Linked DNA regions of Drosophila melanogaster. The gene in region 2 interacts genetically with the main gene of each other region. Each region holds a gene or a part of one and is shown on either strand. Other genes may lie near its edges. The genes, in order: sei, cac and Galphaq.

The links.
Region 1: of cac (region 2) and sei, changing one suppresses a phenotype caused by changing the other (phenotypic suppression), as found in Drosophila melanogaster (one study listed by BioGRID).
Region 3: of cac (region 2) and Galphaq, changing one enhances a phenotype caused by changing the other (phenotypic enhancement), as found in Drosophila melanogaster (one study listed by BioGRID).

The regions. Positions count from the first base shown.
Region 1 is NT_033778.4:24,041,927-24,052,082, reverse strand, and holds the start of sei (seizure), read right to left. Parts: upstream 4,673-10,156; 5' UTR 4,579-4,672; coding exon of another isoform or gene 4,224-4,578; 5' UTR 4,158-4,223; coding exon of another isoform or gene 4,087-4,157; 5' UTR 4,080-4,086; intron 4,018-4,079; coding exon of another isoform or gene 3,823-4,017; intron 3,749-3,822; coding exon of another isoform or gene 3,633-3,748; intron 3,445-3,632; coding exon of another isoform or gene 3,377-3,444; intron 3,315-3,376; coding exon of another isoform or gene 3,250-3,314; exon of another isoform or gene 3,180-3,249; intron 2,881-3,179; exon of another isoform or gene 2,800-2,880; intron 2,661-2,799; 5' UTR 2,653-2,660; coding exon 1,786-2,652; intron 1,721-1,785; coding exon 1,477-1,720; intron 1,425-1,476; coding exon 1,354-1,424; intron 1,292-1,353; coding exon 1,181-1,291; intron 1,121-1,180; coding exon 966-1,120; intron 910-965; coding exon 789-909; intron 727-788; coding exon 606-726; intron 543-605; coding exon 424-542; intron 367-423; coding exon 312-366; intron 247-311; coding exon 111-246; intron 54-110; coding exon 1-53. Other genes in the region: gammaSnap1 (gamma soluble NSF attachment protein 1), read left to right, coding at 3,250-3,314, 3,377-3,444, 3,633-3,748, 3,823-4,017, 4,087-4,157, 4,224-4,578, 4,762-4,800; tsr (twinstar), read left to right, coding at 5,415-5,417, 6,901-7,091, 7,164-7,269, 7,333-7,479; IntS1 (integrator 1), read right to left, coding at 7,745-10,156.
Region 2 is NC_004354.4:11,980,935-11,991,090, forward strand, and holds the start of cac (cacophony), read right to left. Parts: upstream 4,154-10,156; 5' UTR 3,961-4,153; coding exon 3,743-3,960; intron 2,982-3,742; exon of another isoform or gene 2,902-2,981; intron 243-2,901; exon of another isoform or gene 1-242. Other genes in the region: gd (gastrulation-defective), read right to left, coding at 4,849-5,362, 5,485-6,036, 6,116-6,272, 6,337-6,496, 6,540-6,752; tsg (twisted gastrulation), read right to left, coding at 7,229-7,978; CG18130 (uncharacterized protein), read right to left, coding at 9,305-9,718, 9,785-9,971, 10,043-10,156. UniProt on the Drosophila melanogaster protein: Voltage-sensitive calcium channels (VSCC) mediate the entry of calcium ions into excitable cells and are also involved in a variety of calcium-dependent processes, including muscle contraction, neurotransmitter release, gene expression, cell motility, cell division and cell death.
Region 3 is NT_033778.4:12,610,740-12,620,895, reverse strand, and holds Galphaq (G protein alpha subunit q), read right to left. Parts: upstream 8,157-10,156; 5' UTR 8,050-8,156; coding exon of another isoform or gene 8,045-8,049; exon of another isoform or gene 8,017-8,044; coding exon of another isoform or gene 8,012-8,016; intron 7,330-8,011; coding exon of another isoform or gene 7,239-7,329; exon of another isoform or gene 6,551-7,238; intron 5,110-6,550; exon of another isoform or gene 5,067-5,109; intron 4,990-5,066; 5' UTR 4,600-4,989; coding exon 4,482-4,599; intron 4,357-4,481; coding exon 4,172-4,356; intron 4,110-4,171; coding exon 3,955-4,109; intron 3,825-3,954; coding exon 3,696-3,824; intron 3,441-3,695; coding exon 3,312-3,440; intron 3,102-3,311; coding exon 2,972-3,101; intron 2,910-2,971; coding exon 2,756-2,909; intron 2,693-2,755; coding exon of another isoform or gene 2,585-2,692; intron 2,454-2,584; coding exon 2,346-2,453; intron 2,116-2,345; coding exon 2,033-2,115; 3' UTR 1,913-2,032; downstream 1-1,912. Other genes in the region: CG45086 (uncharacterized protein), read right to left, coding at 7,239-7,329, 8,045-8,049; Amph (amphiphysin), read right to left, coding at 9,807-9,887.

The DNA.
Region 1 (10,156 bases), on a different chromosome or scaffold from region 2:
CTAGGATATCGCCAGGCGGGGCATGGGTGGTTTTAAACTTAAGGGAGAACGCTCTGCAAGTTCAAGTACTCGTTCATTTTCCATACTGGTTCGCTTGGACACAAACTCACCGTAGGCAACCAGGACTTGCCTCCGAGAAAGCGGCACATGTCGTCAATAGCTTTCTGTTCAAATGCAGGCAAATGTCGGCTTGCAGGCACTCGGGGAATCCCTTGAGCAGCGAGTTCATGTCGATGCCATTCGTATCTGAAAGGGCAGTGGATTATTAGAGGATTAGGCTAGGGAAGAGGAAGGAGGTCAGATGGTATTACAGGTCCAGGCGTGCTGAAAGTACTCCTCCAGTCTCTGCCTGAGCGGGTTCGGTATCTGCAGAATAGGAATAGGTGCTCAGTTCTATACTTATAGGATGTGCGTGCTCAATACCTGGTGAAAGCGAATGAACTCCCTAACGCGCAGCATTTGCGTGTGATATCTGGCGGTTCCCGAGTACAGCCTTTGAATAATGGCAGATACGTTTCCAAAAATACTTGCATACATAAGAGCTTGAGGGGGGAAATTAAAGGTCTCATTACACGTATTTAAAGAAATATATCGATGTTGCCTACATCCAACGAGCATCACGCAAATAGTGAATGCCTTTTCAGCATCAGTATTCGGTGCCACATTGCCAAATCCCACGGAAGTGAGCGAGGTGAACGTGAAATACAAAGCCGTGATATAGCGCGACTGCAAGAGGATCGGTTTAGAGTCATGCGGATTACGAGTAGATGGACGGAGGGAAACTCTACCTTTATAGAGGGACCACCAGTGCGGTTGTCGAAATAGGGTTCTTGAATATCGTAGGCCAACGAATTGAGCCAACCGATGTTCTTGGAAGCGATAGACTTTTCCGCATTTCCAATCGCATACCTTAAATAGAGTTAAGCAATTCCAAAAACAAATCGACTATTATCAGGCTAGTTTACCATATGCATGCCAACCAATGGGCAATCAAAATAAAGGTCGCCATCAACAAAATAAGAACTGCGGCTCCGTATTCCGAATAACGATCTATTTTTCGGGCCACGCGAACGAGTCTTAAGAGTCGAGCTGTTTTTAAAAGTCCTATTAAGGTAGTTGTCTGAAATGCGGAGTGCAGGCATTAATCAATTCCATGTAGGAGTGCATAGATGGCTCTCACCTCGTCGGTGTCACTGCCCACCAGGAGCAAATCGAACGGAACGGCGGCCACGAGATCGATTAGGAACCAGCCGCTCAAGTAGTGAACTGCTATCCGTCCGGGATGGGATACCTAGAATGAGTGTGGTTTGTTTAATTTCCAAATTTGAGTACTCCACCACGCTGGCCACTGACCACTTCGTCCTGCGAGTTGACAAAGGTCGTTCGAAAGTTTATTATAATGTCCACGATGAAGGTAACGTCCACTGAAAAGTTCCATTGATAGCTTAACCCACAAAATGCAGCATTAGTGCTCACCAATCAAATCGATGATGACAATTGGATCGGAGTTGATGTATTTGCTGTTCCGCCGCTGGTAATCCTGTTCCCCAAGCAAAAAGGCAGCCACGTACGGCGTGAAGATGGCCGTGTACATCACCAGGATCAATATTATCCAATCCCACACAGCCTTAAAGGGCGAGTAGTGCAGGAGGGTCCACTTGTGATAGTAGTTATTCTGCAACTTCTGGTCCAGCAGTATGTTTCCGCCCAGGGAAGTAATCTGATGATTTGAATTCAATAAATATAGTACTTTAATCGGCTGATTCAGATACCATGTCTGCATACCATGTCATTGGGATCCTGCCCCTTCGGCTCGCTTTTTGATCCGAGCAGAGCCTCCTTGTCCAGCATGTCGTCGTAGGAGTTCCCCATCACGTTGTCCGTCGGCTTTTCGGCCTGGTTGTATTTGAGGTTCTTGAACATGCACTCGTAAGAAGTGCCTTTGTGGGTCTGGAAGAGGTCGGCGTTATTTTTACGCAAGGGATCATACGAGCAGAGGAGATCGCATTCCCGCCGGGCGGACACCTGATAGTTCTTAATGTACAGCTTCTTCTTGTCGCACTTAATGCATTTCTTGAAACTTTTCTGCTTTTTGTGCTGACTTGGCTTGGATTCGAGTGGGATACCATTGGTTTCGACAGCATTTTCCCCCTTCATGGGCTTCACTTTTTTCAGGCACTCCCTTTTGTTGTTGATTTTGAATAGAAGAGGCGAAAAGAAGCAATCTGCCGTGATTTTCGTGCCTGGCCTCTCCTTCGATTTTCCACCAGCCTTCAGCTTTAGGGCTTCATCATCGTTAGTGGGTCGAGTCCTCAGGAATTTGTGGTACACCAGAGTGTTGTGGTCGGACACGTTTTTCGGAAACCGCGCCAAACTCTCCTTCTTGTCGTCGAACATGCTGGCGTTAATCAGGATATCTGAAACGAAAACCTGCTTCTTTTCAATCTTGTTCAGGTTGCACATGAGCGAGAAGAGTTCCCTCTCCACAAATTTGTTCGATTTTGCAGGGCAATTGCGCTTGAATTCCTTCACAGGCGGTTTCTTGGCCGCATTATCGTTAATATTGTTGTTGGACATGTACAGCTCGCATTGCTGCACTATTTTATCCAATTTTCGAATTTCGCTCAGTTCCACGCAAGATTTGTGGGACATTTTTAAGTCTGCAAAGTATAGAAACGAAAAAGTGTTGCAAATTATAATCAAACATTCGCAAAGCTCAGAATATCCGGATTCGTAAGCAAATTCAAATAAATCTTCGCTTAAAAACAACTTAATAATAAATCCAAAATTTCCACTTACTCCAGATTGAAATTGGCGAAAACTGCGATTTCTTACCTAATGCACTTTCTTATTTACTTGCAAATCAAAACAGAACAGGTATGACATGCACGCGGAGAAATCAGGAGTGGAAAATCATTTTCAATCAATTAAAAACACTTCAATTCGATCTTGTTCGTTACACATACTCTACTTTTTAAATATCATAGATAAAATAAAAAAATGAATAGATGTATGTAAATACATGGCATTTTCATTTCGAAGTCAACTGCTTTATAAGACCAACTTTTTTTTCCCGGTGTAATCAGGCTTTGCTTTTCTGAAATTTTCAGACATGCGTACTGCTTTCGGTTTTCAAAGATTCGAAACCACCGTGATTTTCGAACCATTGTTATTTTCCTTCTCGCATTCGGTCACACTATTTTCAAACGTAAACAATTGATTTTTCCTGCTAAACAAAAGTGGTTGAAAATGTCGGGAATCGCTGCCAAAAAGATTGCCGAAGCGGAGGACCTGGTGAAGCAGGCCGAGAAGAGGTATCCCCAACAAAAATATCCTTATAAAGGGGTTTCCAAATAACACCCATCTTTATTTGCAGCTTGAAGTTGTCCATGCTGAAATGGGTTCCTGATTACGATAGTGCTGCGGATGAGTATTCCAAAGCTGGTGAGTTTCACAAAGTAGGAGTGACTAATATCACCCAGAGTATCTATCTATAAAAACATTGTGACATCAATGAGATATGTAAATACTATGAATTACAGCTAACGATTATCCCAAAGTATCCATAACTTGCAAGATACACACATATTGGTGTACAATTATGTATCTTTCTTTTACATTTTTAATTGCAGCCACTGCATATCGAATAGCTAAAAGTTATGATAAGAGCAAGGAGTGTTTTCTGAAGGCAATCGACGCCTATAAAAACAACAAGTCTTGGTTCCATGCTGCAAAGGCATACGAACAGGTGAGCTTAAATTGAAGTTAATATAAGTGAAGTTAATAGGAAATTTAAACCCTCTAAATGTGCACATCTTCTAGATCATTTTGCTGTCAAAGGATGCCGATAAGCTACACGAAGTTGAGGAATACGCCAACAAATCGGCGAGTTTGTATCAACAGCACGGTTCCCCAGAGGCAGCCGCATCCGCCTTGGATAAAGCCGCCAAGTTAACTGAATCCAAGCATCCTGACATGGCTTTGCGCTTCTATCAGCATGCTCTAGAAGTCATAATGGTTCGTCCTATTTGACACTGCTCTAGTCAATTCCATTCTTAAACTATTAATTTTATACTTACCCGACAGATCGAGGATTCCGTCCGTCAAGCAGCCGAGTATGCATCAAAAGTTTCCAGGATACTGGTCAAACTAAGGAGGTATGTACCTATGATTGCAACGAATCACTTTGGGTATCCTTAGCTTATATCATCCAATCACTCCAGGTACGACGAAGCCACGAATGCGCTCAAAAAGGAGATCAGCTTGAATCAGCAAACGGAATCTTACGGACAAATTGGACGCCTAGTTGTGGCCTTGGTGATGGTCCAACTGGCTCGCGGGGATTCCGTGGAAGCCGAAAAGACCTTCAGGGAGTGGGGAAACTGCTGCGAGCCAGAGGAAGTGTCCACACTGCAGACCCTTCTGCAAGCCTTCGATGACGAGGATCCCGAGTTAGCTGCTAGGATGCTGGCATCCCCATTCATACGACATATGGATGTTGAGTACGCTATTCTATCTAAAAACATTCCACTACCTCAGGGTATACAGATGGAGAAGAAGGCTGGCGACACTGCTGCTGTGAGTATTTTTATTCTAAAAATGGAATTTGCAATTTTTGTTTTGTAAATTTGGCTCTTATTATGATGTTATCGATAGGCGATTGAATCTGCCTTTGTTGTCGATAGAAGACTTGGGACAGTGCGAAGCAGTAAACTAAATAGCTAACAAGAATTTCGTATTTTCTCTCTTTCTCTCTCGCAGGAAACCAACGACGCCGAGGACGAAGGTGGCTTGTGCTAAATTTCTTAATGTTCGGTCTGCTTGTTAGTCAAAATATATTTATCGTTAATAATATCGCTTTTAACATATTATATTAACTGTTAAATACAAATTTCATCGCAATCGTTGTACTAATTAATAAATACTAAGATCAATACTATACAACAAAGAATATCATTAGCTTTGGGATGAATTGATATTGAAGTAATAAATTGTAGCTATAAGTGTAAACTATGTATATATATTCTATGTTCCAAAACAGCGAATGTGTTAAGATTCAAATCTGTAAATCTTCAGCTTTATTACACGAAAGTATAGTGCAATTTGTTAATATAAATAAATAAATTAACTCAAACTATACTATGTATTTTAAAGCACCCTAAAATATTTGACATTTTGAAAGATCGAAAGTGTGCCATTTCACCGTTCCAAACGCTTCACAAACGTCGCGACGCGTCACGACGCATGTTGATACTTTGCCGGCGCCTGGCAACCCTAACCTGTGCGAAATAACCGACCAAATTGATTCGTCCGGTTGTTCGTGAAAGAAGGCGGAAGGTTAAACAGTATTTGTAAAATATATACTCGGCGAAGCAGCAATTTGAGAATTGTGAAAGCGAAAAACTACAGGAAAAATGGTACGTACACTTGGGACTCGCATTCAGACTCGGTGGTAAAAGCGGCCGGTCATTGTGCACTTTTGGAAGCGAGGTGGAGTGCAAATAATGTCTTCGATTCGATGAATCATATAAGCATCTCTCCTTTGAAATCTGTATATACATACATATTTAGATAAGTGTGTATATATCAATCATACATATATTTCCACTTTTTTTTGCCTATATGTTCGTTGGCCATATTCGGGCATATACATGGTCATGAATGTGTGCGTATACATATATACCAAATTAGTCATTGGTAGCAGCGGATATTACTCATTTATTGGAGTGTTTCATACTTCTCAGCCGCCACTCACACTCATAACTGGCAAATTCGCGAAAGGCAATCGCGAAAGAATGCTCCAAAGTGGCAGCTGGAAAAATGGAGCGATTAAAAATTGAAATGTTGGAAAGAGAAATGCACACACATTGGATTTTCATGTCTATACATATATATATTTTTACACACTTGAGCGTGTGTGGGTATACCGCTTTTTTTATATTTCGATGGCTATAAATATGTGCGTATGTATGTATCTGCGGGGCAATGCTTAATGCTTATTTTCTCGCAGACGCAAAATGTGTGTACATATGTACGTCCATATTACCATACAGAAATATGTATCAATATATATCCATATATGTATCTGCAGGCATACATATTTAAGGTGTGATCGTTTCCTTGCCGCCTTGCGGATGTTCATACATACATACACATGATGTTTAGCTGTGTGTGTGCAGCAGACGACTGTTTGCATGTGGGACGATTTTGATTTTCTCGACATTTTCCGAATATTATGGAAAATCGGGCATTTTCCACCGTTTTGTGAGCGCAACGAAATCGTGGGGAAACAGCCACCTCCCTTTTAGTTTTCTTTCTCCCTCTTGTCGGCTTGTTCTCACCCTTAAACTTGCCGGCACTTGTGAACTTACCCTTGAACTTTCCGAGCGCCGGGAAAAAAAGAAAGGAAAATCTAACTGTAAATGGTGCCACGCCCACCACTCCCAGATAAATCGGCGTGCCAAGTGTGCGCACGCCTTAACCGGTAAAAGTTCTGCGGTGGCAATGCAAATAAAGTAGCATAAATTATTTACCTTTATGTTTGTTATTGCCGGCAATCAAAGAAATAAAATTGCAAAGTCGAAAAGGGACGGATATACTGTCAGCTGAAGGTGGGCAGTTATGTCTGCCAGTCAGTTACATACGCACATATGTACATCAGTGAGGTACAGGGTGCCTCGTGTCTTATGTGGGCATAAAACATTGAACTTCACTTATTTTTTTTTACAATTCAACTACTTGGTACTTCATGAACATTTGTTTTAAGGGAATACTTGGGGAAACGCAAAGAGAGCACCCTGTATCACATACATGCACACACACTTGGTTGACAGTTTGGCGCGCATTGAACATTCAAAATACATTCTCTGATTTGCATCTCTACCTTCTCTCTCTCTAAAGGCTTCTGGTGTAACTGTGTCTGATGTCTGCAAGACTACATACGAGGAAATAAAGAAGGACAAAAAGCATCGCTATGTCATCTTTTACATTCGCGATGAAAAGCAGATTGATGTGGAGACTGTGGCAGATCGCAACGCCGAGTACGACCAGTTTCTAGAAGATATCCAGAAATGCGGACCTGGAGAGTGCCGGTAAGTTCCGCCGGTTAGAGACACCCAGACCCATCGAAACTAACCTAATTTAACATCTATTCGCTTGCACAGGTACGGACTGTTCGATTTCGAGTACATGCACCAGTGTCAAGGCACCTCTGAGAGTTCAAAGAAGCAAAAGCTGTTCCTTATGTCGTGGTGTCCCGATACTGCCAAGGTATGTGAATAGCCAGTTGCCAAGTAATGGCGCAGAACTCATTTCGATATCACACACCCACAGGTCAAGAAGAAGATGTTGTACTCCAGCTCCTTCGATGCTCTCAAGAAGTCGCTCGTGGGCGTCCAAAAGTATATACAAGCCACTGATCTTTCCGAAGCCTCCCGGGAAGCCGTCGAGGAGAAACTCCGGGCCACCGACCGCCAATAAACTGTACGAGCACTGTGCATTGCATTTAACAAACAAGGCATGCATGAAACAGCGATGGAAACACGTATCCTGTTGAGATCGCCAATTTGTATGAGAATTTTCTACATAATTTGTATTTTCAGTAGAAATAAAGAATGAAATATTTAACTTGACCAAGTCGCGTTTCCGCTGTGGTAAAAATCTCGTACCGCAGAATACACTTTATTATAAGGAGCAAAGATTACATTGTACATATGATGACGGTTCTAACTTATAGACCGAACGCTTAATAGCCATGCTGGATCACTAGAGTCTGGAGAACCTTTCTAATCTGGTGGCCAGTGTTCAGGCACGACTTCAAGCCCAGCGAGAAGGCCACCGTTAGGATGTCGATTGCGTGTTCCTGCAGCAGCACCGACATCTCCGGCAGATTGTCAATGGCCGTCGCTGCCACCGAGGAGTTCTCGTCCCGCAGGCACTGAATGTAGGCGTTAAGGGTGCACAGGTTGATGTCCGAATTGCCGGGATTGTGCTTCAGATGCCTGATCAGTATGATGAAGGCGATGGACCGGATCTGGGCACTCGGCGAGAATATAAGGTTGAGCAGTCGTTCGAACAGCTCGTTGATGAACACAAATCTCTTGGAAGTGAGGCACTCCAGCTCCTGCATGGGACCCAAGACCACGTCCTCCGTGTTGGACTGCTTTATGATCTTGACCAGATCGAGGAAGTGCGGCGATATGTCCGTGTAGTTCGACCGGCTGTACGAGCCCAAGGTTAGAACCGATAAGGGACCCCTACTGCTGCTTGGATCGATGGGTGTTTGCGGATTCACTTCGATGGGATCCTCTGTTACCACGGGCTTGCTGGCCGATGGCTTTACATCGAAATGCTCATCCAGATCGTACTCGTACTTAACTTCCTCGTCGTCCAATTCCGTCGCCGAGTGCGACTTGTGCTGCAGCAGGGCAACGGCCTGGACCAAAACCTGCAGTTTGCCTAGTGAGGTGTACTTGGCTGCAAGTTCCTTCAGGATGCCCACGTACTGTTCGATGAAGAGCAGAGCACTTGAGGGATTGTAGTTGATGTAGGCTTGGAGCATCTGCACAAACTTGTTCAGCATTTGGCAGGCCTCTTTTACGTTGCTGTGGTGCTTGAAGAAGTTGAAGTAGCACGACAGCGTGTTTTGGATCTCGTTCTTGTACGCCTCCTCAAAGATGGTTGGTTGCAGCAGCTCCAGCGTCCTCAGGATCTGTACAAATCGGTGGAAGTGGTGCTCCTCGCGCAGGGCCTTCATGCTGAGCTGGGCCCGACCTTGCATAATGGACGACAGCACGCCCAGCTGGCGAAGGAAGAGAAGCGGGTGGGAGGCAGCCAGCTTGCGAAGGAGCAGCTCGGTGTCCGTGGACAGGGTTTCAAAGTCCTTTTTGCCCACCAGACTGCCCAAGCAGGTGATCAGATTGTTGGACACCTTGTCCGCCTGGCAGCCCTTCAGATTCTGCAATTTGTACGCCTGCTCGCCGGTTTTGCCCGGTTTCAGAAACTTGATGCGCGGATACATGATGTACATCTGCTGGAGGACCTGCAGTTTCAAGTAGTCGGACACCGAACTTTTCTCCACGTGCTCCATTACCTTGACCATGAGGTCTCGTCGCTTCTCTGTGAGCTTAAACAGTAGGTTCATTCGCGAGCAGAGCTTGAAATCATAGTTTTTGCTGTCCAGCTTGACCTCGGAAAGCCCTTCGTGAAGGATGAAGTGGGAGAACGGCTCCAGTTCAGAAGTCCTCAGCATGAAGAAGGCATCCGGCCGTACGTTCTTCGACATGTACTTGTCGCGTCCCTTCCACAGCTTCGGATTGGTGGTCAGTGCCTCGAAGTAGTTGAGGACGGTGGCGTAGTCGTAGTCTTCATGGAAATTCTTGAACAGGTACTCGGCAATCCTTTCGATCGTGTCCCAGTTGGTTTGGTGGTTGATCAGGGACAACAGATAGAACCTAAACTCGCTGCAGGACTTTGAGAACAGAAAGCGCTCCTTCATTAGCTGAGTGGAAACTATCTCGGGATCCATTTCGGACAGCCAGTCGATGAAGAGCCCGTTGTGGAAGAGCTGGTCGCTCTTGGACTTGGCGACGGTCTTGCTGTCCTTGGTCTGATCGAAGCTTTGGACGATCGCCCGGACGATCCGTTTTCGTGCCACCAAGGCGGTATTCGCCTTAAACTGCTGCGCATAAATCTCGCGAGAGTTTCTCAGCATGAACACCAAGCTCTCATGATAGAGTTCGGATTTCTGCAGCAGACTGGAGTCGGCGAATGTGTGCTTAAACATACTTAAGTTCTTTTGGAGAGCGTTCTCCAGTATGTGATACTTGTCGCTGTGCAGCATGCAGCTGAAGAAAGTCCTTAAAAATGTGCAGGCGTGACGGCTCATCGTGACACTGCAACCCACGGCTAGCACCTCTGTTATGGCGTTAACCACATCCGCTCTATTGCTGTTCGGGCTTGCTAGCATGTCCAACAGTTTTTGAATCAAGGATCGGCAGTCACTTCGCGACTCAGTCAACTGGTCGGGCTGCGTGAGAATGGTTTGGGCTACCTCCTTGGTGGCCAGGAAGTTAGTGGGTCTATCATCCGAGTCTGAAGAATCGTAATCATCAATTTCAACGGCCTCCTGAATAACCACACTGATCTTGGGCAGATC
Region 2 (10,156 bases):
GAGGATGTGGCGGTTGTTTAGGATGGAGGCTGGAGGCTAAAGGATTCCGGCTGCGATTCCTTAACTGCCTTAACTCGCGTCCTCGTCCTGAATCCCTTGATCGTTGATTTCGGCTCGGCTGTTTTTTGTACACTTTATTATTATTATTCCTTTGCTGTATTTATCGCTTTTTGAATCGTTGTCTTTTATTATTATTTATTAGCTATTCCACGCTTTACCACCGTGTTATTATTGCACTTGAACTGAATTTGGAAATACGAAATTCGATTAGATGCAAATCACACACACACACACACACTCGATTCGATTCGATTTTGATTACGATTTGAAGTGAAACTGGTCAGATTCCGGAATCTCTGTTTCATTCGCTTGGCTTTGCGTTAGCTTTGAGTGTTTCGATGTTGTGCTACTTATTTTGCCAACCGATAATTATGATGCGCTCGGGTCAATTCAGTTCATGACCTATTGAAAACATGCTCATACACTCGCGCACGAACATATACATACATATGGATTGGATGGGAATGGGCATGGGCATGGGTATGGGAATGTGGTTACTCAGGTGCATGCCAAGTGCATGGCTGGTGTTATTTTTGTATCCAATATGTGGTGTATCTGTAGAGAAGCTGATCCACAACATTTCGGACTGGCAATGGCTATGGACACGGTCTGCAGATAGATGTGGTTATTTCGGTTATTGGTATAAAATTCCATTACTGGAACACGCCATGAATGAAAAACGTTAGGGGATGAAAAAGTCAGAGGCTGAGAGACTGGCACACATACAAATGCATGTGTATGGAACACCAAAAAAAAAAAAAGCTCAATACACTCGCACACACACATACACGGGCTGTGGTGAGTTGTGAAACGGTGAGATTCTGAATTCCGACTGGAAGAATTCTGAAAACTTGTTTACCTTTTACGGAGTATTCTTGAATTGACAAACTAGCCCATAAGGCAGTGAAACTACGAACAAGGTTTTATCTTTACAGTTATTTGCAGATCAATCAAATGTTTTGATTTACGGGGCTGATAACAAGAATTGGCATTTGCAAATTTCAACTCTCTCCATTCCATCCACACACACACACATATACACACGTACCGGCAGAAGCTCTCTCCCCCTCTCTCTCTCACTCTTTCTCTTTGGTTTCAACAATCACTGGGTCACACCGATAACGATAACATCGCAACCACAAATCGCTTGCCTACTTTTAAGGGCCCAGTAAATCTGGTTGCATTTGCATTTAAATTAACTATTGCCCTATTTTGAATAGTTCATTTTCAATTGCGCAAAGCAATGTCTTTTCTTTAAAAGCAATTCTTGTTATTTATTGCAATTGTATAGTTCCAGCTCTATTTTCCCTAGTGACGTCACCAGGCACAGTTGTCTGAAATTTTTTTTTTTTTTATGTTGACGATGTCTTTCGGAACGATTTTGGGTTTTTGGAATGGGCAGAAGCTATATATATCTGTGTGTCTAACTACAATCGGGCCACAGTGAGACCAACGAACCTGTAATTGCCAAAAATAAACAGCAACAATGACACACTTGCCATCGTTGCCCCCTCTAAACTAACGCTTTTTGTTATTTCTTTTTTTCTGGAAACTGTTACACTTTTAATTGGGCTTAAAGAACCAACTAACTGAAATTTGATATGTCGTTATAAGTTTAGTTACAGAGCACACGACTACCACAATATTTGTTCATATGCTCGCATTCAATTCCCCATACGAGTATTCATATGAGCATTGTTAAAAGAACAGAGACAAACAAATTTTTCACTTCCGTGAAGAGAGGAGAACCATCATTAGAATTCGTTTCCGGTATGGAAAACATATACATGTGTAGATTTGTATGTGTGTGTGTGGGTTGGGGAATTTACGACTAGTAAATATTTGTGTGGACTGAGAATATAGTTAATTTAAATATTAATTTGGGGGGTGCTTCCTGCTACATCGCCGCAATTCATTCACCTCGAAAGTGCGTGTACACGTCACAAAAATAAACGATATACCGATAGGCTAAAAAACACCCGAAAACTCCATATCTCCTTTTCCTTCTCCTTCAGCTTTAGCTTTGGCTTTAGCTTTTCCTTTCGCCTTTGCTTTTCCACTTGCCTCTTGCCACATCCACTTCCACTTCCATCCACCGCAATATATAGCACCACCGACGCAACATTCCGCCCGTTGTGCTACCGACCCGCTGACCCAATCCCAACAACTATGTATATATATATGGCTATACATATATATGTATATGTATATGTATATGTATATGGATATGTATATTCGTGCGGGTGTGTTGGTGTGTGTGTGGTGCGTTCGTGGGGCTTGTTAACTTTAACTTTTACAACTGGTTTTTAAGGATAGCTTCGGTAATTGGGATTTGAAACGAACGCATATATATATGTATATGAATGTGGCTAAAAATAAAAATTAGATCTGGTTGCCTGGAGGAGCACAATCAGAGGTCGTTTATTGGCTTCAGTAAGCCCGAATAATGCTTTTCACTTGGTTTCCCGATATCTTTTCTTGCTATTTTTGCTGTCCTCGCCGCCATTGTCGCCAATTCGACGTTTTGCCATTGGGTTTTTCACGATTTTTCACGATTTTCACGCTTTTCCGACTATATTTCTTGTTCTTGGTTTGGATGTTTGTAGTGTTATTTTCACCACTCGACCCGAATTCGGATGCCAGCGCACACAACATTCGAAATGTGGAATTTTCACAGCACTTTTAACCCCGCATTGCGAGTGATTTTCACTTGATTTCTTTAACGCCAGGCTTCTGTATTCAGCCACATTTTAGTTGTCGCACATTTGCTGTTAAATTGACTGGGTCCCGAGTTAAAAATAAAAAACAAAAACCGCTTCTACGGGAGCTGTCACCACCGACTTTGTCTCACCAGTTGGACGAAAAACTCAACAAAACGCAAGACTTCAACTCGGCGACTTTGTATCACATACTACCACATCGCCAGGGTCCAAACACACGCACAAAGGGCAAAAATATGGGGAAAAAAATCTACCAGCCCTGCGCTCTGCATCCGCCCGAAAGCTCTGGTCCAAGCTTCAGTTCAAGCTCAATCGGACAATCGGAGGTGGACACACTGGCCAGCCAGTGCGGAGGAGAGCGCATGCGTGTCCTCCAAGGAAACCCGCTCCTAGGACCGTTACAGTCGTCGATTGAGCTTTAAGCTCCGCTTGCTCTTCACCCCTTGGGAACAAAACTATCGAACTTTCGAGAAATCGCGGTTTTAAAATCCGGGCTTAAATCATACTGCTAAAGTTTAAAAAAAAAGCGAAGCGACGAAGTTTAAGCTACTTACCCATTCTAAGAGTTTTTTTTTTAATTGATTTAAGTAATTGATTTACTACTGCCACAATTGTTGATAAAGCTTTAAGCTTTAAGAATACTTTCAACCCCTTGTAGTAAAAACTTTTGCATCAAGATATCGGTTATTTGAAAACCCGGCTTTAACCGAATTACAAATGATCAAAGGCGCTCTCATACTTGACCTAATTAATTAATATATAAAACAAACAACATATTTTACTCTATTTCAGACTTAATTTTATCTCTGTACATTTCAATAACCCTCGTCAATTACCTTTGCATACTATCTTTAATAATAATGAATTTTTACCAATTTTCAATACTTTTCTAAATATCAATTGATCTTTTAAAATAATGTTAAGTTTAAATAATTTATATTTAAATTGGTAGTGGTACTCACATTAGGTCGCCTAGATTCGGTCGCGTCTGGACAAGAGCAAAACTTTCCGGAGCCCGGCGCCTTTTGTTAGACCCTTGCGAGCCGTAGTGCGTGCTCCGCCGGATGACGCCATCGCCGATGATGGCAATATTGTCATCCAGACCGTTGATGTTGCTAATGGTCAATCGCGCCATAGGAGATGAGCCCCTTCGGCGACGAGCTCCCACTCCGCCCAGCATTCTGGGAATCGATGAATCGAACTTTGCAATACGCGAAATGTACTCCAAATATTGCCATTTCTGTAATATATTCACTACCAACTATCGGGCACGTTCACAATACAATGCGTTGCACTTGTTTGGGGATCTTCAACGATTGCGAATGTCCGTAGACGACGGGCCCAGAGCCCCAGGTGTGATGCACCAGCTGCCACGGTCCGGACGGAACTGATAGTCGATGGCTACGACTGCTGTCGATGCCCCAACAACCCAGCAAGATAGATAACGGCCCAGATGGCGATGACGACGATTGCGGCTGATGACGTGCGATGACGTGCTTGATAGTAGTCAGCATTTGCGCAGTACAGTGTCTGCCGCTGGTAATTAGGGTGTCCAGGTGTCCATGGGTGAACGCCGCTCAGACGGGCCAGGCCGCCCACTCCGGCATATTAGCAGCTTCCTTTGTTCACGAGCGCCAACAACACACTGATAACAAAGGCATGGTAAACGTTACTGTATTACAATTAATTTCGATATCAAACATACCTGTGATTCTTTCAACATACACGTTTTCTATATGTGGTCAGAGGAATTTAAACATTGCAAATTTCGAGATTTTTAATGTTAATATTATGGTGGAGATCTAAAAGCGCAGCGATTCTATGGGAAAATTCCTTTTTGGCTTTCCCGTGCCATAATTTATTATTTGAATTGCCCTACTGTCTTAGATAAAAATAAAACTGAAATGCCATAATCAGAAGTTTTCGTAATGAAACTAGCAAAAAAAAAAAAAGAAAAAACCGATAACCGCTAATTACTCCGAGTAACTTTTGCCCATCGCCATGCCCAAGGGGCTATTATCACAGCGCTCACTTAGAAATGCGTTCCCATACACATTTCGGATGTGATTCAAATTACAAAGGCCGTGATCCAGTCCAGAAACTTGGCCACGTCGGCATATATAATGTACTGATTCTTACAGCAAAGCTTATGGCTAGATTCCGCATCCGGTGTCTCTACGGCGGGCAGGGCCGCTGATACTGTGCCACGCAGCATCCAGCGATTGTTCCGGCGGATGAAAAGTCCGGCCCCCGATATACCGGTGTAAATGCTCGCCCCGCTCTGATGCGTATCTCGTTCCTCCGCCTGGATGCCGGCGCAAAACGTTCGGTTTGAGGATAGGCTGCGAAAGTGGGCATTGGCTCGAAAGCATTCGGCATTGCCGACAATGGGAGCCTTTACTACCTTGGGTGCACTGGCATCGGTGGACTTCTTGCCCGGTAGCTCCGACGACAGCTTCTGATCCCGCGTCCTGTTCGTTCTGTCAAAGCTCCAGCCGATGACGATGCCCCGCTCGCCCACAATGTACTCCGTTTTGCTGGAACCAGACCACAGGCAAGCGGGTCGAATAAAGGTGTTAAATCTGCGTTGAAAATAATGGTATACTGTCAATATAATAAATGATCTTCATATTCGATTTCACATCGCGGTTTAGATATGAATCTAAATCTTGAATATGTAAGCTTTAGGCATATTGGCACCCACCGAACTTCGTCCTTGAGTATAATCACTGCGATATCCGCATCGTAGCTGCTCAGCTGACTGTTAAAGTCGGGATGAATGTAAATGCCATCGACGGGGGCCGCCAGAGATCCCTCCTCGTTCCAGTTCTTCAGATTGTGGCGGCCCAGAAAGACGAGCACCTCGTTGGATGTGTAGCGCTTGTTGAACAACTTGAAGCAGTGCGCCGAGCTGATTACAACGCGTGCCGAGACAAGCGAACCGCCGCACTGAAAGTCCAGGGAGGTCAGGTTGTTCACATAGATGGCCGCTAGCCAAGGCCACGATCCCCTGGTGATCGATGGCAGGCTATCGGCGCTATCGCTTTCTATCGCTTCTGCTTCTGATTCGTCCACAAACTGATGCTCCAGGACATCGTCTTCATCGTCATCGACAAAAACTGGCGATGTGATGCCATCGGAGCTCTTTGGTTCACCGATTGCGACATGAAGTGATTCCGTTCTTTGGGACAAGTGAAAGTCCAGATCCCTGTCGATGCGTCCGCAAATCTCCTTGGGCGCCTGGGCAAAGGGTTTTCTACAAAAGCGGACATTAAGTAACGAATGAATGTCACGATCGTGTGTGTGTTTTAACCGACCAAAATCCGGATGCATACTTCTTGAACTGGATGTGCGGCGTACTGGGCGGCTTGTCGTCGGTTTTTCTCACCTCCTCCTCCTCGGGATCTAGCAGCAGGGAGCTCTTCTTATCCGGTATAAAGGACAACTTCCTAATGTGCTCCAACTGGATTTGGGTCATGAAGATGCTGTGCTCTGTGGTGCGGGCAAACAAGTCATGGATTAAATCGTTTGCTACCCAAGTTCCGTGGATACGCACCGCCGGATCCGAAGCAGATCACATGATTGTTGGCTGACATGAGGAGCAGTTTGGGCGGGAAGTGATGTTTGGGAAAGCGGATCTTATACAGCACCGGTGCATTGTGGGTAAACTTGCCGCGTGTGAGTAGCTCGATTTCGCCCAGATAGTTCTGTGTGTACTAAGGGGATTAGGTAACATCTGGATGACAATATACCACTTACCGTGGTGGGCTTGCCACGCATCGAGAGCGTAACTCGTATGTGGAGCGGCTGGTGGCCATCCGGACTGCGCACGGCCATCAGGCCGAACCATTCGCTGCCGTCGAAGCGGTACTGAAACACCTTGGGGCACGGACTGATCGGCATTCCCTGGGCGACTGCCTTGGTTACGTGCTCGATGCAGAGGATCAGGATCGCCGCCAGGTGCAGCCTCATCGCTAGTGTCTGGGAATGCCCGGGATGAAAATGCTTTTCACTCAAAACAAACGTAAACAATGCCGCAATTTCGATCGAAGCTTTAACAGTCCGGGAACACTGTGTGCATTTTATCCACCAACAGAGTTGCCAGACCAAGAAAGTAACCCCTGTTAATTAAAATGAGAGAGGGGAAATTGATCCTTTAAATTCTCAATTCCGTGCAAGTTCAAATTTCAAAAAACTTTACAAATTAATTATATCCCACAAATATGGATTCTACGAAACATTTACTGGATCCACTGTTAGAACTAAAAGGAATATTTTTATAATTTCCAAGTTTATTGTTGTCTTTTTTTTATAAAAACTTAAATTAGCAAATGCCTTGCTATTTTTACATGGGTATTTTACATGGGTATTTACAAAGAGATCGTTTGCTATGATGAGGTCCAAGCTCCAATTTGAAGAACCACATTTATTTGAAATTATCTGTGCTATTAGGAAAATTCATCCTCCTCGCCATAGCCCCACTCGTCCTCGATCTCCTCGTTGCCAAAGAATCGCTCCAGATCCTGTTCAGCCTCCGCCGGAACGGTATCGGCGGTAAGCAGTTGGTCCTGATCCTCCGGACAACCGCGGCAGCGACTCTCGTTGATTCCATAATTGAGGCAATTCTCGCCGACGCACTCGCAGCATCCGTCGTGGAACCATCGATAGCTACTGGCTCCCATGCTCTCGCACTGCTGCCGGCACTTGTTTGCCCGAATGCACGAGTTCACATAGATCACGGTGCATAGGGTGACACCTGCAGACCCGGCATTTCCATTTCCATTTCCGTTTCCGGCATCACCACTCGCGCCGCCCTGAACGCGCTGCTTGAAGCCGGCTCGCATGGAGAACCTTATGGTGGACCATCCCTCGTCATCCTCGGCGGTTAGGGTGTCGAACAGCTCGGGCACTCCTTCAATGTCTCCAATCTCCGAGCGCGGCGTCAGCGAGGGCAGGACATCCTTGTGCTTGGGACACATGTCGAGGCAGCCACAGCACTCGATGTACAGTTCGCCAAGGCAATTTAGACAGTCCTTGCAGCAGTGGCAGTCATTTAACTTGCACTGGCAGCTCTGGGTGATGAGGCACTTGGATACCACCGATCCGCAGACCACTTCGTTGCATCCATCATCGTTGGCCAAGGATGACCACGGTGCGATTCCAACGAAAAGGATGACGAAGTAGCACAGTAACTGCATTCTCGACGAGATCTCGCGGCCTTATGATACATTATCCACGATTGCGGCATGCCTTTATATGTTTTTTTAATATTAGTATCCAGATGGTCAGGTAGATGGCTCATCCTTACCACAATCCGCTAATCCTCGTGTCGCGAAAATCAGGTAGTGACCCTCAGCAGGCAGGCTGGTCATTTAAAACCATTTAGAGGTAACTTCTCCTATAAAATGTGCCAAAATAAGGGATGATCATCTCAAAATAGCCTTACTTTTAAGGCAGCTTCTAGGATTAAACACGCAAACATTACCTGTATTATTGACTAATACGAACCGTTATAAAATAAGCCAATTAGGTAACATAAATAAAGTCCATTGGTTGGCTAAAACAAAATGCAGATTCTTAATCCTAAATCTTAACCGCAAACAGGTATTATTGGCTCTAAGGACTTAACAGGTATAATTACAATTTGTTAAGTGTTTTGGCCAAAAATCGATATATTATGTTAAGGGAAGTCAGAAAAACGACATTTGGCAAAAATGCCATAATTTATAACTTGGCCAAAAATCATCACATGGCTAAAAGAAAAACAGTTTCGCTCAGATAATTACCAATGCTAAAGATCCATATCATTTTTAAGCGGATACTAAGAAATTAATTTTAAGATCAATTTTTGCATTTTCGTAAGGTATCAAAATGCGAAAAAAATTAAAAAAAAAAAATTTTCCTCAAATTATAACCCAAATCGATTGGAATTTAAATAACAAGCTCGTTGAGGTATAACATTCAATTTATAGACCATTATTTCGAATTTTCTGACCAAAATACGGATTTTTTTATTTACAACAAAAATCGGGTGAACGATTTTTGGTATAACTTGGTCAAAAATGGTCACAAAACAAAAATAATTACCGATTTATGCTCCTAATTACCAATACTAACCAACCCTATCACTTTTTGACGAATTTTGTAAAATTATTTTTTGGCCAATTTTTTGCATTTTTTGTAAGGGGTAACATCATAAAAATTGTCAAAAAACTGAAAAAATTAATATTTCTAAATTTGGACGCCATTCGATTGGGAATTTAATTACGAGCTGAACGAGGTATGACACTCCATATTTGCAACATTATTTCCAATGTTTTGACCAAAATATTGAATTTTATTTACATATTTTTAGATAGCTTTGTACATTTCAAAGGCAACGATTTTCGTTACGCAACAAATTGAATGCTATTTCAGTTTTTTATTAAATTTAAAATTTTAACATTTCAACAACTGGGAATTTTCGCGTATACACTAAAAAATTTAGTTGCCAAATAATGAGTAATAATGAGTGCTATACTGGTTTACTCGGCTGCTGGCTCAGGTGCAGGCTCGGCAGGAGCAGGAGCAGGAGCTTCTGCCTCCGGTTCCGGTGGCGCTTCGGCGGCAGGTGCCTCCTCCTTGGGCGCCTCATGTGGCGCCTCCTCCGCTGCTGGGGCTTCCGGAGCTGGAGCTGGAGCTGGAGCTGGAGCCGGTGCCTCTGGCGCCGCTCCTTCGGCGGCTGGCTCAGCTGGTGGTGGCGCCACCGGTGCGGCATCTCCGGCTGGCGGTGCTTCGGCAGCCGCTGGTGCGGCATCTCCTTCCACGGCAGCGGGAGCCTCTGCGGCGTGAGCTTCTGCTTCGACTGGAGCAGGAGCCTCCGAAGGATGAGCCGCCGCTGCAGCTGCAGCTGCAGCCGCTGCCTCCATTTCCTGATTGATTTCGGTGGCCCGCTTGCTCTGAAGAATATGAAATATGATTAAAATATTTGATATTATTAATGTAAAACCATTTAGGCCTTCTACCTTCTTCTTTTTCTTTTCGACCTCGACGACGACCTCCTCCTGGGGCTTGTAGTCCTCCGGGAAGAACTTGAGCGCCTCGTCCTTGCCGACAGTTACATTGGGACTCACATAGCTGGGACCGTACGAGACCAGGGATAACATCATGTTGGACTGGACCTTGTTGACCTTCAGCACGATCTTGTCGCCACTGCAGTTGGGCAAGAAAAAGGTTGGAAATTGGAGTAAACTACTTGGGCTAATCCCGGCCAGAATACGTACGATGAGTGCGGACTGCTCTCGTACTTGTCCGTTGAGGTGGCAATCAATTCGGCCTCATCCGGTTCGGCGCTTGAGAAGAATCCATAGAGCGGCACATCGTCCTTGTGTCGATCG
Region 3 (10,156 bases), on a different chromosome or scaffold from region 2:
TGTTTCCACATATGCGTAGAGTAGAATTGTTTTTATTTGGATTTTTACATAAATAATTTGTTGATGGGGTTTTCTATTTATGTGCGTCTCATTTAGTTATCCTTGTATATTAAATTAAACTAAAATTATAAAAACAAAAACAAAACACTGAACCCACTTGGCCAGACATCGCCGTTTTGGCTAGCCGCCAAAGCGAGTCCCTTGTTGCATACATTAAGATCTATAAAATAAGCAAACAACTAACAAAGTTAATGTAAAAAGTACGAAAATCAAGCTATTTTTGATAACAATGTTTCGACTGAAATTTTGATGGCAACAAAAGTACGTGAGAGCAAAACTTTCCCTTCTGATAGTTGTGTTTCTCGACCAGTGGTATATCGCATTTGATTGGATTTAACCTGATGTCTGATTAAATATCAATAAGTTGTATGGATTCTGCTGTTGCATGTTGCATGTTGCATGGGTGGTTATCGACATTTTTTACAAACACGTATTTAATGAATGCTCCATGTAAATGTTTCTGGCTTTTCTCATACAAATCTAGCTCCTATATCGTTTTTGTATTGGTTTGCATGCGTTTCATTTCTTTTCTTTTCATTCTCATGGTATTAATACGAATCGTAATTTACAATGAATGGAGCTCGCGCAATGCAAATTAATCAATTTTTAAATTGTTACATATGCGTTTATGAATTATTATATCTGCTTTCATGTATAGTTAAATATTTCGGTAAACAATAGTATCAATATTTACGGTTTACTGTTTAGCTTAATAAAAAATACAGTATTATCTGTGATTTCGTTTTCATTCATTTTATCATTTTATCAGCTTATCATTTTCGGTTTATTATTTTTACACGCCTATATGCCCTGAAATTCTAATAAGAAACTTCTTGCATATATAATTCTTTGAATATATATATATTTCGGGGGATTTTTACGCAAAAGTATGTTTTTGTTTTTCTGTAGTTATTTAGTAAAATGTTGCTTTATTATGTTATGCTTCAGTACGACAAAGTTGTTTCAGTTTGTTGTTCCTTATCAAGCTTTTGATTAAATTTACGTTTCATATTTTGTGTTTCGGATTTTATTACAAAAGTTACTATAGTAATAAATTTATTTAAATATTACAGAGTGACAACAACTAATTCGGACGATATTTTGTATAAAAACTTTTCAAGGAAATCATGTTTCTTGTGTAGGAAGGAAAAACTACCATCAGATTTATTCAAATCTAACCAAAAACTCTATCGATTGGGTACCAATCATTTCTGGCCACTGTCTTTTTGACTTTCAAGAGTTTTCCTAGTCGAAACAAAAAAAAAAAATTCACACAACGTTTTCTGAAAACTTTGCCGCTAGAAAGAATAGAAGTACTGCAATATAAATAAATGTTTTACGAATCGTCACATTCGTAAGAGAAACTCTGCCCTGATTATTTGTTGTCACACTGTATCAGATTTTGTGTTATTTTTCTCTCAAATTAAAATGTATACATCTTTTTCATCATTCTGCTGATGCGGTTTTAGCATCTCAGTTTAGTATTCTATTTATGCTACAATTTTCGGTTCCTGATGTAACAAACGTAAGAAACTTTCTCGGGTCTAATTTATGCCTAATTTTCGGCCACATTCGCTCGCTTCTCAATTCTTCTTTTATATTTAGTAAATATGCGAAAAAGGAATTATATGAATGTGTATGTGTGTTTGTATAAAAATCACAAAAATAGTTTTTCGATCCAAATCCAGTTTAGACCAAATTATATTCCTTAAGGTTCGATTGCAGAATTGTGTCCTTAACAGCTGCAAACACAAACCTTATATTTTCCGTATCTAGACAAAAGAAAAGAAGGCGTAGTTAGTTTGATTTTGTCAAATAATCCTATGATAGTAAACTGCACACATTTTCCATTCACGATATTTCACAGACTATATTTAGTTTTTATTGAGGGACTTTGAAAAACAAATCATATACATTATAAATAAATAATTCATTTGCATTGCCACTTTTCCTGATATCCGCACTGCCCGCCTTAGCCCAAATTGAATTCCTTAAGTGCATTTTGCATAATTGTATCTTTGACAGCGCAGAACACAAGTTTGATGTTTTCGGTATCTGTTTACCAAGAGATCGTTGTTTTATTAGAAATCAATTCGTTTAGGTTTGCAAATTTGACTAGCGATACACAACTACTCTCTACTCTAGATCAGCGGCAAAAGCAAATATGCAAATGTAAATGTTTTTCACACAAAAGTTTACCTTTTGACCAGTCCTTTTTAGGCTGAAAACTAAAATCACATCCACACACAATTTCTGACCAAACACAGAACTGGCAGCAAACTTACCTGTAGCACACGTGAAATGAGAATAGATAATTTTTTCGGAATCTGGATTTAAATCTACAAACATTCGCAGTATAAACTCTCGGGCCGTTATTGCATCTCGCTGAGGACCTGTTTCGATAAGAAGGCGAATATGAAGTTACGTCTAGCGTGGTTCTACGAAAACTAGCAAATAATCTACGGATGATATTGGCGATTTAAGGCAATTACATAGATCTTAAGTACATAAGGTGAAAATCCACCTGTGGCCGTTGTGAAATGCGAATAGCATTGACGTTCGGGATCTGGATTGCAGGCCAAGTACTTTTTCAGAACGAACTGTTTGGCCGCAGCGTGATCCTGTTTTGGACCTGGTTCATTGCCGCATAAAATCGTACATAATTATGGCCACCTTTATCATGCGGAACACTTACCATCGTATTCAGGAAAATAGTCTACCAAATGCGAATACATTATTTTCTCTTCCAACAAGTCCTTCTTATTCAGGAAAAGAATAACTGACGAATTTTGAAACCAAGGGTATGTAATTATAGTACGAAATAAAGCTTTAGATTCCTCCATTCGATTCTGTGAAAGCGTACAGGTGATTATTTGTTTAAAAAAAATATATTCATAACTTGAAATCATACCTCATTATCAGATTCAAACAAGATTTGATCGTACTCCGATAGCGCTACCAAAAATATAATTGATGTCACATTCTCAAAGCAATGAATCCACTTTCTTCTCTCGGATCGCTGACCACCGACGTCTACCATTCTGTTTATTAAGAAAAATATATTATTGTAAGAAAAGTTAACCAACAAATTAACTACATATAAGGCCAAACATACAAGCATTTAATTCTAGAGCGCAAGCAACGAATCTATTAGTAACTAAATTGTAAGAAATCGTCTTCACTAGCTTTACAATGACCATTTACATTACTAGCCTTGCCGGTAATTACCAATTGATATTTTTAATAGATACCTAAACACAATGCCATCCAAATCGAATGGATACTCAAGAATGCCAGTTGTCGGCACTCGAGCACGCAGAATATCCTGCTCGGTTGGCAAGTAATCAGCCTGTTCAATTCGAGCTAGATCGCTCAAGTAGCTAAATTAGATAAATTAATACACTTTTAAAACAATGAACGGAACCAAAAGCAGTGGCAAAAATAGTTTTGCAACCCGTCTCAGTCCATCAATTTCGCTGAAGGCCCTAACTAAGTCCCTGAATTGTTTGCTTGAAGAGACATGCGCTAAAGAAATTCTTAAGTGTGTAGTTACAAAGTACAAAATAAATTTTAACCATAACCAAACAAGAGGTCATGCACATGCAACGAAGTAAGGGTAGAAAGATGGTATGTACCTAAATCTGATTTCTTCTAAATCAAAGGGATACTCAATTATCCCTGTTGTGGGCACACGAACTCTTAAAATGTCTTGCTCAGTGGGTAAATATGCAGGTTGAGCCACACGATCGAGATCCTTCAGATAACTATACATAGACAAGATAATTGATTTAGTTTGCATAGTCGTTTCGGTAGTTTCAGTCTCTTCAGTTCGTTTTTCGGTCATTTTGCGGACGGATTTAAACCGTTCCCTTTGCATGCCAACGGTTAACTTACTATTTGGCTGAATCAGTCAGCTGATATTCCCTACGACGATCATAGCACTCCTGGATGCCAGCATCGTCCCAAAGCGTTTTGATGGCATTCAAGTATGGATCCTCGAACGTGGTAACGGTCTCATAATCGATGCTCATCACCAGATCGGCCAGTTCCTGTGGATCGTAAGATGTTGTTTAAGATTCAGTGACTTCAATTAGATCAATGTTTCACTTACACTATGCTCTCCCTGGCCGTAGGAAATCTTCAGCATATCCATGGCCTTGATCATTGACTGCATGGCCATGAATATGTTCTGAAAAACCAGCTTGATGTACCCACGCTTGTCCTCGTCCGAGTAACCGCTGCCGTGGATAATACGCATCTGTTTGATGAATGTGGACTTCCCGGACTCGCCAGTGCCTGGGGATATAGGATTGGAAAATATATATAGCCATAAGCGGCGGGCAAACAATGCAATTAGCGAGGCGGCTTCAATTGCATTAAGCCAGGCTAAGTGCAATCGAAATGGGCCATGCTCCACTTACCCAGTAGTAGCAGTTTAAGCTCGCGGCGCGCATCTCTCTTGTCCCGGCGCAACTGCTTCTCGATTTCCTGATTGATGCGCTTTTGTTCCTTGGCCTCCTCCGATAAACAGCACTCCATGCTAACTAGATTTATAGACGCTTTCGCGTGCTGCTGCCACTACGCTCGACAGACCGTTCCGTATATAAAATGTATGCTGTTTGGATGGTGGGATGGTCTCCTGGACTCCCTTCTCTGGACCCTCGGACACCTAGCTAATTGGTTGTATGGCGGGCGTTGAATTCACCCGTTCCAAGTTATAGATTCTGTTGTAGTTTCGATTGGTGCATTTGTACTTCGGCTTTGCTCGCTCTGCAGACCTCCTCCAGCGCTTACGATCCAGGCTCTCTTTGGCTATTGCTATTGCTAATTACGGGTCTACGCTAAGTTCTTGACCAGATTTCGGTGACTCGGAGGCTGAGAGTGATGGTTACTAATGAACAAAGACCACATCGAACGATCCAAGAACATCTGCAAGGAGACAAAGCTTTGATTTAGTGCTTGCATAACCGAACTGTAGGATCTATCCAACTATTGCTGCTACGGACCACCACAGTTGTTGGCCCAACGAGAGTTCGCCGCGTTGTGTCCCGTGCTGACAATTAACATTTCATATTTGCTAGCCTGCCCCACTAGCTGGCGACGTCGATGACGACGTCGGATATAGATTGCCCATGGCTACCCATGACTACCCCGGGACTTCCTCTGACCATGGCATTGGCTTTGGTTCTAAGTTCTGGGCCTGCTCTCTCTGCGCAGACCTGGGATCGCCCTCTACCAGGTGGCAATAGATTGAGGAAGCGTTCCCCACAATGCCCCTCAGCCAAGTTCAATGCAAGAAAGCTGATTTTGGAAAATATATGGCTTCGCTGGCCACAAGTTAGCGAGAGTGTTCTCCTATTGGGTGGACCAAGCAGTCTATGGATAAGAAGAATTGGCATATCATTCTAATTCGGAAATAAAAAAGTCACATACCGAAACTTATGATGCAAAAACACAGCTCTATACACAAAACTGGAATATCATTGCATAAACTTTAAAACTCTTAATGTACTTTTATCGTTAAAAGATATGAGTCCACCCGAATCCGCGGTTCATTCATGGGTTCAGCATAGGGCATGCCTATAGAATATAGCCTATAACCACTGGTGCTATTTCCTCTCTTTTCCAACCCCTAGTTTATATATCGAGTGATGGCTAATCCAATTTCGTTTGGCGAACACATTGACATGGGTCGAGGTAAGGCTTTCAGCATGACCACTACCAAATATCGATGGAATACCTAGCAATAATTTTGACAAAAGTCTGACCAGGAGAATTTGGCGGGCTCAGGTGGGCGAATATGGAGATCTGGATAATGATGGCTAGACGCATAGTATTCGGGAGGATTAGTGGGCTGCACTCGGAACACATTGCTCGCTGAGCAAAGCCACAAAATCGAATTAGCAGTGGCAGCAAAATTCAGGGGCAGGGGCACGCAATTGGCGCAATGAAGCGTTTTTTAACAATAGTTTGCCAGATATATCATGCCACCAAATCAGAGGGAGATTTACCTACCGCGAACTGGTCTTATCTGCCTTACATATTGTATATGCTGATGATAAACCACTCTGAGATAACGTTTGATTTGACTTCTTAATCTTTAGACGACTACTGCTCTTCTGAAAATCACTGTTCTAATGCAACCCATTTCCGAAAAACCATTTCTAAGCCGGAAATAGCTTCACGTTACTCATGCAGTTCCTTATCGCATCCTCAGCCTATTTTTGCTGGAGAATTTATGAGCTCATATTTTAGATACAAAAGTACCCTTTCATTATGATGAAAGCATGGCTTTTACACAAAATAAATATATTCGAATGGATTTGAATAAGATGGATGACAATCCATTAAACTCGCCTGGAGAATAATTCGATTTTTGGATTATAATATATTTCGGCCAGTTTTTAGTGGCAACCAACAAGTGGTCGGAGTCAAAAATTAACCACGAAATTACGATTCTTGTATTCAATGAGCATTCAGTATTACTTACTTAACATTACGGAGACACGGGACTAAAGGTATTCAGACGAGATTCTCCAAAAAGATGTTCCGGTTATCGTCTCGATTTGTTTTAGCTACCACTATGTTATACAAAAAATATTGAATTTCGGGTTTTAGTACGCCGATTGAAGTTCTTCCGGATTGATCGTGTTCTTTTAATTTTTGTTTTTGGTTCCCTGCCGATGTTCGGTCTGTTTTAAATATTTTTAGTTTAATCACGCGATTTGCTTTGCGGTGCGTTGGTTGGTCTTACGTTTTTTAGTTAGCTTAAACTAATTTCAAAAGCATTTCGTTTTTAGTTGGTTTGCGGTTTGGAAAACATTTGTTTTTAAGGAACGTGTGTAGTTGGTTATATATTTTTTACTGGTGCTTTTTAATATAAAAGTTACGATAACGTCTGTTCGGCTTCCTTTTAATGTAAATGTGTGATACGATACTATTTATATATGTAGATATATATCTATATATAATTTTCCCTTTTTGCTTCTAGTTTTCGGTGTGTATGAGTGCTGTTGTTGTTGTTGTTCTTGGTTTTTAACGTTTCTTCTTGTTGTTGTTGTTTTTAAACACCAGTCTGTAAATGCAACGAAGTTTCAACAAATATTCATTGTAGTGTAATTGAAACGGAAAAGTATGTACGACGACAACGACGACGACGAGCGGTCTTCAAATTGATTTCACACGAAACACTTAGTGGCTCCTTTTGTATTTAATTTTCTGCATATTTTATGCTTCTTGTATTTGTTTATTTTTCTGTATGCAGTGGAACTGCAAGTAAAGAAGAGAGACAGAGAGATAAGGAGAAGAACGATGGGGGGGGGGGGTGGTATTATGGGTGGTAAGGTGGGAATATGCATTCCGGAAAATCATCATCATACTGGCTAAGGTAAACACACACGACCCTCAGCTACCATTTTTTTTTTCATTTTTTGGTTAGCCCACCCGTTTTAAGCCCAAAAATATGCACAATCCACTATGTAGTTACGCGACCCCAACTAACTTCTCGCTGGCATGCACCGTTTAGTGGCAAAAGAAAACCACATTGAGTTAAACAAACTATTTCTTTTTTAAATTTCTCAACTTTTTTCCTATTCGCAGTGTTTTTCTCGGGCAAGCAGTGCGACTTGCTGCGCACTGCTTTACGAACGAATACACACAAATATAAGCGAGGGCGTTAACGAAACGAAAAAATTTTGATAGCAATGCGATTCGAAGATTTCGCGATTCGATTCGCCGTTTGTTTAACAATTATGGGGGGGCCTTGCTTAATGGCCAGCACTGTTTGGCGAAAAAATACACTTTACACTGGCATTTCGGGGAACGTTTTCGGTGCTGCTAAATTTTTTTTTTGTCGAGGGGGGGACTTTTTCGGGTGGCTGCCAGGCGGCTGCGGATGGCGACCGCTGGCTGGCGGGGAGTCCGTTTGACGGGGATCTTGCTCGAAACTCACAACATATTCGATTTGGCATCGCTCGCTACTCACAACATATTTAATTTTGCATTTTTCGCTAACGTTGACGCACGACCCGACTTTCGATAGCAGGAGGCGTTATTTGTCCGAACCTATCGGCCCTATCGTTCGTCGATATCGATGGTCAAACCAATCGGACGGCATTTGAACTAGTGGTGGCAAGATATCGATGATGGAATAGATGCTCTTAAATCAAAGTCTTCATTGTATTACATAAGGAAGGAGTTTTATTTGCCGCATAATAACTAATAGAAGTGGTTTATAACAAATAAAAACGGATTTCCTGGCAGTTCAGCTTAATTTGAAAATATATTACTTTTGGTATTTTTTAGTTGCCACCCCCACCACAACACATGTCGGTGTTGCCATACGGATTTCTATTCATGTGTGTCAATACACATTCTTAGCAATAAGGTTGGCAACGCCTTACATCCTTCAAATAAGGATGGCAACGCCAGACATCCTTAAAAATAAGGATGGCAGTGCGCCATATTCTCATAATTCAGGATGGCAATGCCTGATAGCTTTAGGAAAGACTGAAAATGTTGTGTCCTTTTCACTCTCTAACAACAGGGAATACACTTACCATGCACTTCCATATTCGTTAAGCTGTGACCCGAACCAATGACTATGATCGTAAATTTTAAATAACTAAATATATGTGTGTATAATTACCATTTAGAACATAAAAAATGCGAATATCGTAAAACGCCGGTCAATCGTCAAATTTACAAGCACTTTCTATCTTCGAAATCAGAAGACATTGCCCGCCAAATCAAAAGACTTGTATTATTTAATCTATGTTTTATTGGCTTTCTGTAAATTATTATCATTTGTTCAATATGTTCATGCGATAAATAAGTGTTTAAATTAATTAAATAAAATTAAAATAATAACTTTACAGTGTGTGCACAATTTAAACAATTATTTCGGGTTTCGTGTGATTTACAATCGAGTTAAATAAAATAAAAACATCGAATCGATCGGTTAGTGACTATTGGATTGTGTTCGCGTTATAAAGCTGTAGCTAGTTCGAGTCTCTCAAACGAAAAATTAAAAACCAAAGTACAAATTAAAGATACACGTAATCGCTAAACGTTAATGTTGTTACTTGAAACAATTTCCAAAACTTCGGGGACCACAGAGGAATTACATCTGGCCTTTTTGCATCGCCCCAAAAATACATTCAATTGACTATAAAAAACTCGTACTACATATTTGCAAAATTCACAAAATACAAAAGGTTCAGGCTGGCTATCTCCTCCGACTTTTGATTTGTTTAACAATTACTCTAGCTCTCGAGTGATATGTTTTACATTTGTGGTTTGCCATTAACAAATTACAAATTAGATACGTTTTGTTCGCATTAATTATGAGCACAATAATAGGATTAACAAATAATATATGTATACGTAGGTTTATGCTTTAGGTTTTCTTGAAACTTAGAACTAAAAAATAATGTTTGAAACATTTTCAAAATATTCTCTCTCTCATTCCTCATCTGTGTGTTCGTTCTTCTTTGTGTTAACAATAACAATTTTATGGTTGGAAGCACTGCCCTAACGAACAATCGCTATAAATGGATTGCCAGTTACCGAATACATTTCACAAAACAAGAATTTATTAATTGGACAAAAGCAAAAGCAGCGCTCACAAAGAAAATTTGGCCAAAAGTTTGTATTTGGATTTGGACCTCCGTTCGTAAAGATTTTTATGGTTGATCTGAAGTTGCTGATGGTTCGTTGCTAGCCCAGTTGTTCCCCAGTTTGTCGCTTCAGATGGGACGCGTGAAGTTGGCGGGGAAGAGTCCCTTCTCGTTGGTGCCCTCCTTCTGACCCATCAGCCAGCCTTCCTCCTGTAAATTGGCAATAAAGAACTGAACTCAATATAGACAGGAAGTGCTGAGATCTGCATTTGGCGCGGAGGGGGAAACTAGCGCGTGCAAAGCTCAAAGGAATGTGTATCTCCGGATTCCGAAGTTATACCCTTGCAAATGATAGAATCTAACAAGTTTAGCTTACTTAAATTGATGGAATTTTATGGAAATGAGGACAGACAATCCCATTAACATTGAAAGTAGCTTGAAGTTATATAATTACATCATCTGCAAAGGGTAAGCCAACC